Linked DNA regions of Macaca fascicularis. The protein of the gene in region 2 interacts with the protein of the main gene of each other region in a biochemical or structural test. Links are inferred from orthologs where the notes say so. Each region holds a gene or a part of one and is shown on either strand. Other genes may lie near its edges.

Region 1 (4,248 bases), on a different chromosome or scaffold from region 2:
CCGGCCGGCAACACATTTTTTTGACTGAATGGACATGGTTATTGCTGAATAAAGGTATGGTGTATGATTTTATTCTTCCTTATAGTTTTAGATTCTGAATTTCCTAAAAGGACCTAATGTCATTGCACATAGTTATTACATGAAGATAACGAAACGGGGGGTGGAAAGCAGTGCCCTCCGATGGCCCCGAGCAGGAGTTAGTGACAGGGAGCGTGGCTCCTGCAACCACAGTCCCTCTTTTTTTTTTTTAAGACGGACTCTCACTCTGTTTCCCAGGCTGGAGTGCAGTGGTACGATCTCGGCTCACTGCAACCTCTGCCTTCTGGGTTCAAGCGGTTCTCCTGTTTCAGCCTCCCAAGTAGTTGGGATTAAAGGTGCCTGCCACCACATCCGGTTAATTTTTGTATTTTTTATTTATTTATTTTTTGAGACGGAGTCTCGGTCGGTATCCCAGGCTGGAGTGTAGTGGCGCCATATCAGCTTGCTGCAACCTCCACCTCCTGGGTCCCGGTTCAAGCAATTCTCCTGCCTCAGCCTCCCGAGAAGCTGGGATTACAGGCACACGCCACCATGCCCAGCTACTTTTTTTATTTGTTATTTTTAGTAGAGATGGGGTTTCACCATGTTGGCCAGGCTGGTCTTGAACTCCTGACCTCGTGATCCACCTGTTTCAGTTTCCCAAAGTGCTGGGATTACAGGCGTGAGCCACCATTTTGTATTTTTTTTAGTAGAGATGGGGTTTCACCACGTTGATGAGACTGGTCTCGAACTCCTGAACTTGTGATCCACCCGCCTCGGCCTCCCAACCAAAGTGCTGAGATTACAGGCGAGAGGTGAGCCACGGCGCCCAGCCACCACAGGTTCCTTTTTTTTGAGACGGAGTCTGGCTCTGACTCCAGGCTAGAGTGTAGTGGCGCCCTCTCAGCTCACTGCAACCACCGCCTCCCAGGTTCAAGCAATTCTCCTGCCTCAGCTTCCTGAGTAGCTGGGACTACAGGTGCGCGCCTCCACGCCCGGCTAATTTTTGTATTTTTAGTACAGACGGGGTTTCACCATGTTGGCCAGGATGGTCTCAATCTCTTGACCTTGTGATCCTCCCTCCTCGGCCTCCCAAAGTGCTGGGATTACAGGCGTGAGCCACCGCGCCCGACTGACAGGTTCCTCTTAAAGCCTAAACCGTGAACCCCAGGGAAAGGACCTGCAGGTCCGGCCACGCCCAGGCCTCCTTAGCGCGCCAAGATGGCGGCCGCCGCGCCCCGCGGTCGGAGCCGAGCGGTCCCGAGCGCTTCCGAGCATTCCCGAAGTCCAGAGAAACTCCGGGAGCGGCGCGGGCGGGAGCGGCCCCGCCCGGAACCTGGGAGCGGCGACGCCGGCGCGGGGGAGGGGAGGCCGGATGTGAGTGGAGCGGCCATTTCCTGTTTCTCTGCAGTTTTCCTGAGCTTTGGGTGGTGGCCGCTGCCGGGCTTGAGCTTCCAGTCCGCGGAGGGCGAGGCGGCGTGGACAGCGGCCCCGGCACCCAGCGCCCCGCCGCCCTCAAGCCGCGCGCTCGTCCGCCGCGCCCCGAGCCCGCCGCTTCCTATCTCAGCGCCCTGCCGCCGCCGCCGCGGCCCAGCGAGCGGCCCAGATGCAGGCCATCAAGTGTGTGGTGGTGGGAGACGGGTGAGTGCGCGGCCGGGGCCGGACTGGGGACGGCGGGGTCGGGCGCGGGCGGGGGTCTGGCCCGGACTGAGACCCAGGCAGGCAGGCCGCTCGCTGCGGGCTCGCGTAGGCGGTGGGCCTGGGCCTGTATCGCGGGGCGGGGGCCGCGGGCTGGCGCCCCCACTGGACCCTGACTTCCCGGGCGGCGCGTGCCAGGTTCCGGCTCTGGATGGAGGAGGGCCTTGCCGCTCGCCGGCCGGAGGGAAAAGTGAACTCCACCCTCCGGCTTTCTTCCCGGACGCCGCCCGCCGCCCTCCTCGGGAGCGCTCGTAGAGGAAGCGCTCTTGGAGATTTTGACCATTTTTCCAAAAAGGGACTCTTTCTTGTTTTTTGCATGAACCTCTCAATTCGCCTTGAGAGCTGTGTTGGGAACGCGGCGGTCAAGTCGATATTTGATGCATGCTTGATTGTGCGGGCCTCTTTGGTGCCCCCAAACTTTTCTTTAGAAAAACATATTTTTTTTCATAGACCGGTTCTCGCTGTGTTGCACAGGCCGGTCTCGAACTCCTGGGTTCAGGCGATCCTCCCATCCCAGCCTCCCAGAAATGCTGGGATTACAGGCGTGTGCCACCACGCCTGGCTAATCTTTAAAACTTTTTGTAGAAATGGGGGTTGGGGGTCTCGCTGTGTTGTCCAGGCTGGTCTCGAATTGCTGCGCTCAAGTGATCCTCCTGCCTCTCAGCCTCCAAAAGTGCTGGGGTGACACCGCGCCCGGCTTCTAAACTTATTTTCGAGCAGGATTTTTCAACTTACACTTCTGCCACTGTTAGGATTCTTAAAATTGTTGTTTTCGCGTATTCCGTGGAGAAAGTTTTTAAGATGCTGGCTGGGAGGAGCCGGCTGTAAGGGGCACTGTTTTTTCTTTTCTTTCTTTCTTTCTTTTTTTTTTTTTTTTTTTTTTAACGTGGTGTGGTCATTGATAAACTGTTCTTTGCTTAACGCGTTAGGTATGGGATGTAGCAGAACTGGCCCCCTGTGACTCCAGGCATTGCTTTTCATGACTGTCTGTGGTGGTTACAGGCCCTGGAGGAAGACAAGACTTGTCTTATGCAGTTTTTTTCTCCCATAGAAACAAGAATCTCAGTGTAACCCAAGCAAAATCGCGCGTCTCAGCGTTGCTTGTATAGGTTAGTGTTAGCAAGGAAGAATTACTACCAGTTTAATAAAACTCAGTGCAACTGGTACATGTTCCAGTAAAGTCCAAGGCAAGCTCTGGCATCACGGTTAACTGGTTGATATTCTTCAAACTTGTCATTAGGACAGATTTTGGTTCTTGCAATTCAGATGCAAGAAGGATAATTAGACAACTGATTTTTGTAAGATGCCCATCTGTCATATTTGTCTTGGAAATGTGAAATAATATTAATGCCTCATAATTCTGTTTATATAATAACTAAAAATTCTAACTTTCACTTATTTAAGAGTATGTAGGCTATCCAAGGGTTTTTTTTTTTTTTTTTTTTTTTGAGACGGAATCTCATTCTATTGCCCAGGCTGGAGTGCAGTGGCACAATTGCGGCTCACTGCAACCTCCGCCTCCCAGGTTCAAGCGATCCTCCTGCCTCAGCCTCCCTAGTAGTTGGGATTATAGGCATGCGCCACCGTGCCAGGCTAATTTTTGTATTTTTTAGTAGAAACGGGGTTTCACCATGTTGGCCAGGCTGGTCTCGAACTCCTGACCTCAGGTGATCCACCCGCCTGGGCCTCCCAGAGTGTTGGGATTACAGGTGTGAGCCACCGCGCCCAGCCCAATTTTTTTTTTCTTTCTTTCTTTTTTTTTTTTTTTTGAGACAGGGTCTCACTCTGTTGCCCAGCCTGGAGTGCAATGGCGCTCTCTCTGTTCCTGCAACCTCTGCCTCCCGGGTTCAAGCAATTCTCATGCCTCAGCCTCCCAAGTACCTGGGATTACAGGCACACATCACCACACCCAGCTAATTTTATTTATTTATTTTTTATTTTTTTGGTAGAGATAGAGTTTCGCCATGTTGGCCAGGATGGTCTCAAACTCCTGACCTCAAGTGATCCCCCCGCCTCGGCCTGTTTTTTTTTTTTATAAGTCATATTGCTGATAATTATTTGAAAAATGCTGAAACTAAAACATAAGCATAGCAGATACGTTTATTTAATACTAACCGATTAAGGACCTCTGCCGTTTGAATTGGCTGTTTTATCTAGTCAGATAACTTGTCGAATGCCTATCCTGGAATCTGGACCCTCCCTTCAAATACCCACTCCACCGCTTACATGGGGTAACCCTAAGCACATCCCCCACCTCCCAGGAGAGGTGGTTCAGTGGGAGGTCAACAAGAGTAAACAAGATGTTGGTTAACTACTTTGCAGGTGCCCCTTGCTGAGTGCTTAGTAAGTGCCTGGTACTGTTACTGCGGTTTCTACTACAGAGGCTCTGTGAGGGAGTATTAGGTTTAAAAACCTGTGGCCTTGAGTTTTCAGTCTGTGTTTTTTTTTTTAATTAGTTATGAGCATTTGATCAAGCACAGTTTTGTTTTGTTTTTTTTGAGACAGAGTCTCGCTCTGTCGCCAGTTCTGGAG
Region 2 (4,169 bases):
CAGCCTGGATGACAGAGCAAGACTCCACCACAAAAAAACAAACAAAAAAAGAAGTAGAATGGTGGTTGCCAGGATGCTGGGGAAAGGGGAATGGGGAATTAGTACTTGATGGGTAGACAGTTTCAGTTTGGGAAGATGCAAAGATTCTGGAGATGGATAGCGGTGTGATCGCAGAACAGTATGAATGTACTTAATGACACAGAACTCTACACTTAAAAATGGTTAAGATTGTAAATGTTATGTTATGCCTATTTTATCACTATTTTAAAAAAATTATCCAGGCCAACCCCTCCTCATTTTACAAATGATGTCTCAGTTCACACAGCTACTCAATTACAAACACAATTAATCTCTAATTTTATTTCTACTAATAACACTGCCCCTAAATTCTTTCTAGGCTACAATAAAAAGACACTGCTAGAGATAAAGTGGCTAAAAAGAGGTAAATGACAGATTATAAAAAAAGAAAATTGTACAGAAAAAAAAACTTACAATTACAATTAAAATGGGCAGTCAGATGATGGAGTCTCGCTGTTACCCAGGCTGGAGTGCAGTGGCATGATCCTGGCTCACTGCAGCCTCCACCTCCTGGGCTCAACCGATTCTCCTGCCTCAGCCTCCCGAGAAGCTGGGACTACAGCCGTGTGCCACCATGCCCAGTCAGTTTTTGTATTTTTAGTAGATACAGGGTTTCACCATGTTGGTCAGGCTGGTCTTGAACTCCTGACCTCAGGTGGTCCACCTGTCTTGGCCTCCCAAAGTGCTGGGATTACAGGTGTGAGCCACTGCACCCAGCCAAGATATGCTCTTAATATATGCATTTTTACATTTGCCTTATTCCTGCATCCATTCTATGTCCCTTCTTGTTTTCCTGTTCTTACCTTTTTCTAACTTCTTTTTAATCTATTTTATATGTCTTTGTAATCCTTAAGTACTGTTTAAAAGAAGACGGGCAATAAATAAAATGTATGGCTATACTTGTAACTGACTTACAAAAGTACACAGAAGACTGCATAATATTTTTCAACAAAACAATTAAAGTTAAAATGTGATCTTTTAGAAGGATAATTCCCCAGCGGCACAAAAGAGGCTTTGTTATAATTTAACGGTAAACTAAATCATGTAAGCATGCCTACTTCTTTTAAGCAGAGTTTTTTGTACAAATACCTTTTTCAAAACAATTACCTTGGAAACCACTTGGCATGTTCTACCCATGGATCATCTCCAGATTCCCAACACCTCAAGCCGCCATCACAACAAAAGCATTTGACATCATCATTGCGACCTTCAAGAAAAAAAAAAAGACTAAATATTGAAAACACATTATGTTCTAATATGTAAATCAAAATAAAATGATAAAATGTAGTTATTTGCTTCTTACCCACATAATAAAAACCAGCACTTGCAAGCTGCTCAGGCTGAACTGGAACACTGGATGGCCAGTACATAAACGTTCTCATTCGAGCTGCATGTGTCTGCATGCTCAGATTTGAAATGCTAAACCTCAGCGTTTCTAGAGAATTTTCCAAAAATGGACAGTTGGGAAAATGCCTCCGGTGTTCTGACATAGCATCATCCTTTGGTTCCCAGTTACTGAGCTTCCCACCACAGGCAAAGCAGGCTACCCTATCTCCAGGTCCTATATAATAAAAACCAGCTCTTGCCAATTCTGATGGTGACAAAAAAGTTAATGGCCACATATGGTAGGTAAGAAATCGGGCTTCTTCAGTACTCATTGCATAACTGTAGGGGTTAGTCCTCGATGGAGACAAGTCTTCAACTGCTCTAGAATTAAGAGGGTTTGGTGAAAGGCTAGAGTAAGAACCACTGAACAAGCTACTATGTTCCAAGGTGGGAGATAATGAATGTGCAAAACTGTTTCTCATTGGAGAAGTATTCTTAGAGGTGGATCCCAGAGTAGCTGAAACCAGATTCTGAATAAAGCTACAGCTAGGATATAGTTGTTTATGCTTTTCAATAGGACTGTCTCCTAGTTTCCAGTTATCCAGCATCAGGCCACAACAGAAGCATTTGACCTTGTCATTCACACCAGTATAATAAAAACCAGCACGAGCAAGACTCCTTTCTGAGACAGGAACGCCGGTGGGGAAAGTTGAATATGTAGACATTCTGTAGAGTTCACAGGAAAAGTCATACTTCATTTTTTGTTTGTTGCTGTTTGTCCAATCTGACAAGATCGTGCTATCTTCCATTATACTCTTAATGTTTTGATACGAGGGACCTGGGAAAAGTCTTTGGGAGGCAGTTTTGTGCATGAGTAGGTGACAGTACTGTTTGATAGCTAAAACAGTCACATGAAATTTCTTCACACAAAATAAGATTTTTACCACAAAAAGAAATCAATGATAGACTCTTACGTAGAATTCACTACACTTTCTTTACTGGATTTATCTCAGTTTATATTCAGGTAGGATGAGTCTCTCTCTGAATTACCAAGATACTACTTGGAACACAAGTCTTTGGGGTTGTAGTAACTCTTTTAAGTAATCTAAGTGCTATTTGTTCATAATCTTGAGTAATACTAACCTAAAGCCCTGAGAGGTGGATGCCCTTTTGAAAATGTTGAAACTCCTTGATTTTTCACAGAGATTTATATTCTCAAAATTCTAAGCAACTACAGAATACCTAAATTACTCCTTTTATTTATATTTGGTTACAAGCTATGAAGCCTGGGTAACAGATCAATTACTGATTATGCCACAAGGTAAAAAATTACATGCAGGCTTCTTTCCCTATAAGCACTTTAATATAATGTCCCCAAAAAATCTCATTTTATTCCAATAAACAAAAGTAATTAAAATCTTCATATGGTCACACTATTTAAAGGCTAAGTTCACACAGCTTATCACCATAGTATTTACATAAGCGGGCTATATTACTTCAGCTGACAACTTTTGGGGAAGTCAACACCCACAAGCTTTGTTGAACCTGTGCCTGTTATAGTGTTTGATGTCAAATGAATTTGGCTTAAAGTTCACAAACTATAAACTCTTCTATCTTTGTTAAATATCATTTGTATTTGTTTCTATTTCCTGCAGCATGTTGACTTTCTTCCTAACTTTGTATACCACTTTATTATTCTTGATCAACTGAAGGTATTTTCTCCATAAACTTAATTAGTTAGCCATAAAATTTCCACAGCACACTTTTCACACTGCATTTAAAAACTAAATAACCTGTTCATCATTTAAGGACTATTCAGCTATAATTATCAGTCATGCTGTAAACATTAATCAATTTGTCACAAGACACAACTTGTCCTTTCTAGTGTTATCAGAAACGCCTAACAAAATACTGTATTACCAAAAAAGTACTGCTTAGCATAACGTATCAGTAATCAACTCTACTAGCCTTCTTTCTGAAAACTCTTCAATGTTTTAAAAATATAATTCATACACAAAATTACACTCCATAGAATTCAAACTATATCCCTTTATAAAGCTTCGAGATCTCCAAAATGGGATTTATTACTGCAAGGGGAAAGGGAGAGGAGGATTCTTCAGGGCTGTAAATCTGAAAAGAAAAAACAAAAGGTATTTTAGAAAACCGTATTTGCATGCCAAATAGAACTTACATACTCTTCAATTTATTCACTAAAGTCTAAGAATAATTTACATTTTAGATAACACATCTTAATTTCCAGCAATTTGTCACAACTTTCTAACTGAAAAAGCTCTTAATTAAAATAAATAAATGCAACATACTCCCATAGCACTAACTATACGTGTCTTTAAAAAGCACAACTTTAGAGACAGATGGAAATTTTCACACAGGAAAACATTTTGTCCTTGCTCTCCTCCCCTTTTCTGACCTAAAGGTATCTTTGGCACTCTGCTGGAGGCAAAGGAACATTGGTGAAAAAGGCAGAGAGAGCGACAAGGTACTCCACTAAACCCTGTCAACAGCAGTACAGCAGTAATCAGACAGCAACGTTAGTTTGTAATATCAAGTCTCTCCGCGACTAGGAAAACTGCAGTAAAATGTACCACGAGTTCATTAATATAAACCCTTAAACTCTGCCAATCCCTTACAATTTCAAAGCAACGACGGTAGAAAACAACCGAAAACAAAACCTAACACAGCGGCCTGTGAAACAGTGGCCTGACGCCCACTGGCATGATTGCTTTAATTACACGCGATTTTTTATA
Region 3 (4,148 bases), on a different chromosome or scaffold from region 2:
AGTTTTAATTTGCATTTCCAAATGACTAATAATATTAAGCATCATTTTATGTGCTTTTTAGCTATTTGTATATCTCCCTTGGTGAAATTCAGATCTTTTACTCATTTTAAAATAGGGCTATCTGTCCTATTATTGACTTGTCAGGGTTTTTTATATATTCCAGAATCAAGCCCTTTAGCAGATACATGTTATGCAAATATGTTCTCCCAGTCTGTGGTTCTGCTTTTTTTTTCCTTTTTGGAAATGAGGTCTTGCTATGTTGCCCAGGTTGGAGTGCAGTAGCTTTTCACAGGCACGATCACAGTGCACTATTATGATACATCCTCAAACTCCTGGGCTCAAGTGATCCTCCTGCCTCAGCCTCCTAAGTAACTGGGACTAAAGTCGTGGACACTAAACGCCTGGCTGTCTCTTTTCTCAATAGGACCTTTTGAAGTGTAAAAGTTTCCAATGTTTTCAAAGTCTGATTATAAATTTTTTAATGAATCCTATTTATTTTTGATGTCATATTTAAAGATTCTGCCTAACCCTAGGTCATGAAGATTTTCTCCTACATTTACATTTGGATGTCTGATCCATTCTACCTCTGAAATACTATCTTAATTCTGTAACTCTTCTATCTTCAGAATTTCCACCTCAATTAGAAAATTCCTGAAAGTTTCTTTCCTAGCCTCTTTGCTTCTACTTTTGCCTTTCTCCAATCAACTTTCCACAGAGCAGTAAGAATTTCACCTATACTTCTTATCAGATCATGTCACTTCCCTGCAAAACATACTTTAATGGCTTTCCATTCCACTTGGAATAAAAATCTAACCTTTTAATGATGGCCAATAGCCTCTCTCTTACCTCTCCAATATCATCTAATTCCTTTCCTTGCCTACTATATTCTAGCTACACAGGCCTTCTCACTGTTTCTTGAGAATATAAAACTTTTTCTCTTCTAGGCTCAGAGCCTTTATGCTTGCTGTTTTGTTTGGCTGAATACTTTTTCTTCAGCATTTGAATGACTGGCTCTTTTTCAAGCTTCAAATCTCACCTCAAATGCTCGCTCCTAGAAAAAGGCCTTTGTTTCCCTCCCTTAATTAGTCTATTACCTTGCTTATTTCCTAATAAGACTGTCACAATCTGTGTCTTGCTTATTTATTTGTTTTCACTCTGCCTTCTCAACTAGAATATGAACTAGCTACAGAAAGTTTGTCTTCTTTACTACTCTGTTCCCAGGGCTTACTCCAGTATATACACAGCGCATGGTAGGGGTTCAAGACATATTTGTTAAATATATGAAGGAAATTGTTACTCCTATCACACAATTTCTCTTTTTTGTTAGGAATTCTCAGTTCTGCTCTAGAAGGAGTTACTCATATATAAATGCTATGATAAGTCGGAAAATAATTTAAACAACTTCTAGCTAGTCATCTAATTTGCACAATTTTTCAAGGAATATTTTATTCACAGTATATTAACTAATTCTGTAATTCAAAGAGTCCATGTTAAAACTATATACTCACTTAAGAAAGATGGTCTTTCATCTGGATTTTGTGCCCATCCACTTTCTATTAGAGAGATCATATGTGCTCGGTGAGGTATATCATATGGCAAACTTTCTTCATTAATAACAGGTCGATGTCCTTGTGACACACTATACATTATCTGCAAAGGATTGGTGACATCTGTCAAAACAAATAGATTGCATTCATTAGAAATATATTACGATTCAGCATATTACTTACATCTAAAACTAACTAAAAGAAAATAAGTGAATATTAAAATTTTAGGAATAATGTCTTATCCCCCTTTCTGTAAAAGGAATATATATATCCCAAACCATTGCCAGACTTGTCTGTTCCTATGGAAGGAGTTTATATCCTCACCTCATTAATTCTGGGCTTGGCCATATGATTGGATTTGGTAAACAGAATATTTGTAAAGCAGAGCTGAGCAAAACCTAGCCGAACTAAGAAGGGCTACAGCAACTAATATTTAATGTGAATGAGAAATAAATGTTTATTTCATAAGCTATGGAGATTCCAAGGTTGTTTTTTGTTACACAACAAGCTGACCTACACAAACCTCAGAATAAAGAAATAATATTTTCAGGGAATAAAAAGGACAGATTAATCTTCAATATTTGCTAGTCTTTATAGAGGGAATAGTAATTAAATTATCATATAAATAATTTTACAGCTAGACTAGAACTTAGAAATAGTAATTTAAAATTCTTACTATGCAAGTGACAAAAATGAGGACTGAAGAGATTTTGTGACTTGATCACAGAGTTAATTACTGTCAGAACAAGAATTAAAATCTGGGTTTTTCTGATCCTTAATCCAGTACATTTTCCAGTATATAGCAGATTCACAACTGGATCCTTAACCCAGTATATTTTGCAGTATGTGATGCATTCACAATTGATAAATTGTCGTTTTAGTGTGTTTTCCACAAAATGAATAAGCAGATTTAAAATAACATGATTTTTAGATAGTTCTGAGAGTGACCTACTAACATGATGTTATTGAGCATAAAAAAGTCAAAACATACTTACCTTCAAAAGGCTGTTTTCTGGATAACACTTCCCATGTGATAACTGCATAGCTGTTTAACATAAGAACATACATGTTATATATTTTAAATGAACTCTATCTAATAAACTAAAATAGCACTACTTTTAAAAGCTGACTGTGAAGATACCATTTTTGAAAGTGATAAGGCAGCAAAGAATTACTGTATACAATGAAGATGACAAATGCTCATCTAGTTTTGAAAGAAAATCAATTTTAAGTTAAAAAATTAGGAAATTACTGTAATAAAAGCTTAACGTTACATGCAAGATTAACTTTTTGTGGATGATTTAATACTAGGATTAATTCTAGAACACTCAGATAAGCTATGCCCTTTAATTAAATGATATTACTTTTCACAAAGAACAAAGAGCAAGAAAAAAATTGTCTCATGGAGCTCTATTCTACTGCCTTTTTTCTGCTCTCAGCACTATCTTCTTTGGTAGTAGAAATATCCTGCCTACAGTTTAACTTCAGATGTCAATTACAGGGTTAAGCTGCATAGAGTTTATAATTAGAATAAATGGTTAAATAGGATATAAGAATTTTGCCATACCCCAACATTAACCATGCATTCAAAATGGACACATAGAATTTATTACTACCAACACCTTTTGTTACAGGGAGAGCGAGGAGTACAGAGGGAATTCCTACCCAAATAAAGGAATAATATTTCCTCATATTTCCCCTACAGAGAATATTGAAATTGAACATAAAGAGAAAATTCACAAAATGAATGACTGATAGATTTAAATTGGCCCATTTTTATAGAATCAAACCAGTTTTCAAGAATTGTTGAGTAGAACATGATCTTTACCTTAGGAAGCTATAAATACATTTCCCCTGCCCTCAGTACATCATTCAAAATAAATTAAAAATATCAGAAAACAAAATATAAAAGGGCAATTTTTTATATTCATACAATGTGAATGTAAAAGACACTATATGAATTGTTTTAGTGCAGCCACTAAAATGGATTGGCTGGCTTTGGATTTAATGAGAAATAACAAAAATTAAAATGCTTTTGAAGAAAAGGAATATGCAATTTAATTTAATATATAGTTTTCTGGTAGAGATATGGCATTTGTTCCTAAAATGATTCATTAACAGGTTATTTATTAAAGATGGTAAAAAGCCATTTAAAGGACTATAAAATGTGTTCACAGCAAATTTAGAGAGTGTGCTTTTGCATTCATTAGTATATTAAAAGAGATAAGAGTAACTTACACATGAGGTGAATGTCCCCATCTCTTAAACCTATGTAAATAATCATCTTCCTTTTATTCTGGTTAAATAACCAGTGTCAAGAACAATGTGTTATGCTTATTACTGCATTATGAGACTATAAGTAATATGCATCGGAAATATGAAAATACGATCAAATCCATTGATTTGTTGTATAAAAAATTCACACATATACAAATATTAGGGATTCTTTAAATAGAAACATCCCCAGTATGATTAAGAGTTGGTCTATTTATCTAAAAAGACGTATAGATATCAAAAGCTGAAAGGTTGAACAGGTTGAGAAACTTAAAGCTAAAATGTTAGGAACTACTGTTTCCCTCTGCATTTCCAAGTCACATATGA

Evidence for each region.
Region 1: the proteins of BIRC2 (region 2) and RAC1 form a complex in vitro, tested with the Homo sapiens proteins (2 studies listed by BioGRID and IntAct, with this or other methods). The link is inferred for Macaca fascicularis from reciprocal best matches to the Homo sapiens genes BIRC2 and RAC1.
Region 3: the proteins of BIRC2 (region 2) and RIPK2 form a complex in vitro, tested with the Homo sapiens proteins (4 studies listed by BioGRID, with this or other methods). The link is inferred for Macaca fascicularis from reciprocal best matches to the Homo sapiens genes BIRC2 and RIPK2.

What each region holds. Positions count from the first base shown.
Region 1 is NC_088377.1:45,992,317-45,996,564, reverse strand, and holds the start of RAC1 (ras-related C3 botulinum toxin substrate 1), read left to right. Parts: upstream 1-1,417; 5' UTR 1,418-1,624; coding exon 1,625-1,659; intron 1,660-4,248. UniProt on the Homo sapiens protein: Plasma membrane-associated small GTPase which cycles between active GTP-bound and inactive GDP-bound states.
Region 2 is NC_088388.1:101,358,064-101,362,232, reverse strand, and holds the start of BIRC2 (baculoviral IAP repeat-containing protein 2), read right to left. Parts: upstream 3,305-4,169; 5' UTR 2,277-3,304; coding exon 1,382-2,276; intron 1,286-1,381; coding exon 1,186-1,285; intron 1-1,185. UniProt on the Homo sapiens protein: Multi-functional protein which regulates not only caspases and apoptosis, but also modulates inflammatory signaling and immunity, mitogenic kinase signaling, and cell proliferation, as well as cell invasion and metastasis.
Region 3 is NC_088382.1:99,475,318-99,479,465, reverse strand, and holds part of RIPK2 (receptor-interacting serine/threonine-protein kinase 2), read right to left. Parts: intron 2,593-4,148; coding exon 2,543-2,592; intron 1,671-2,542; coding exon 1,509-1,670; intron 1-1,508.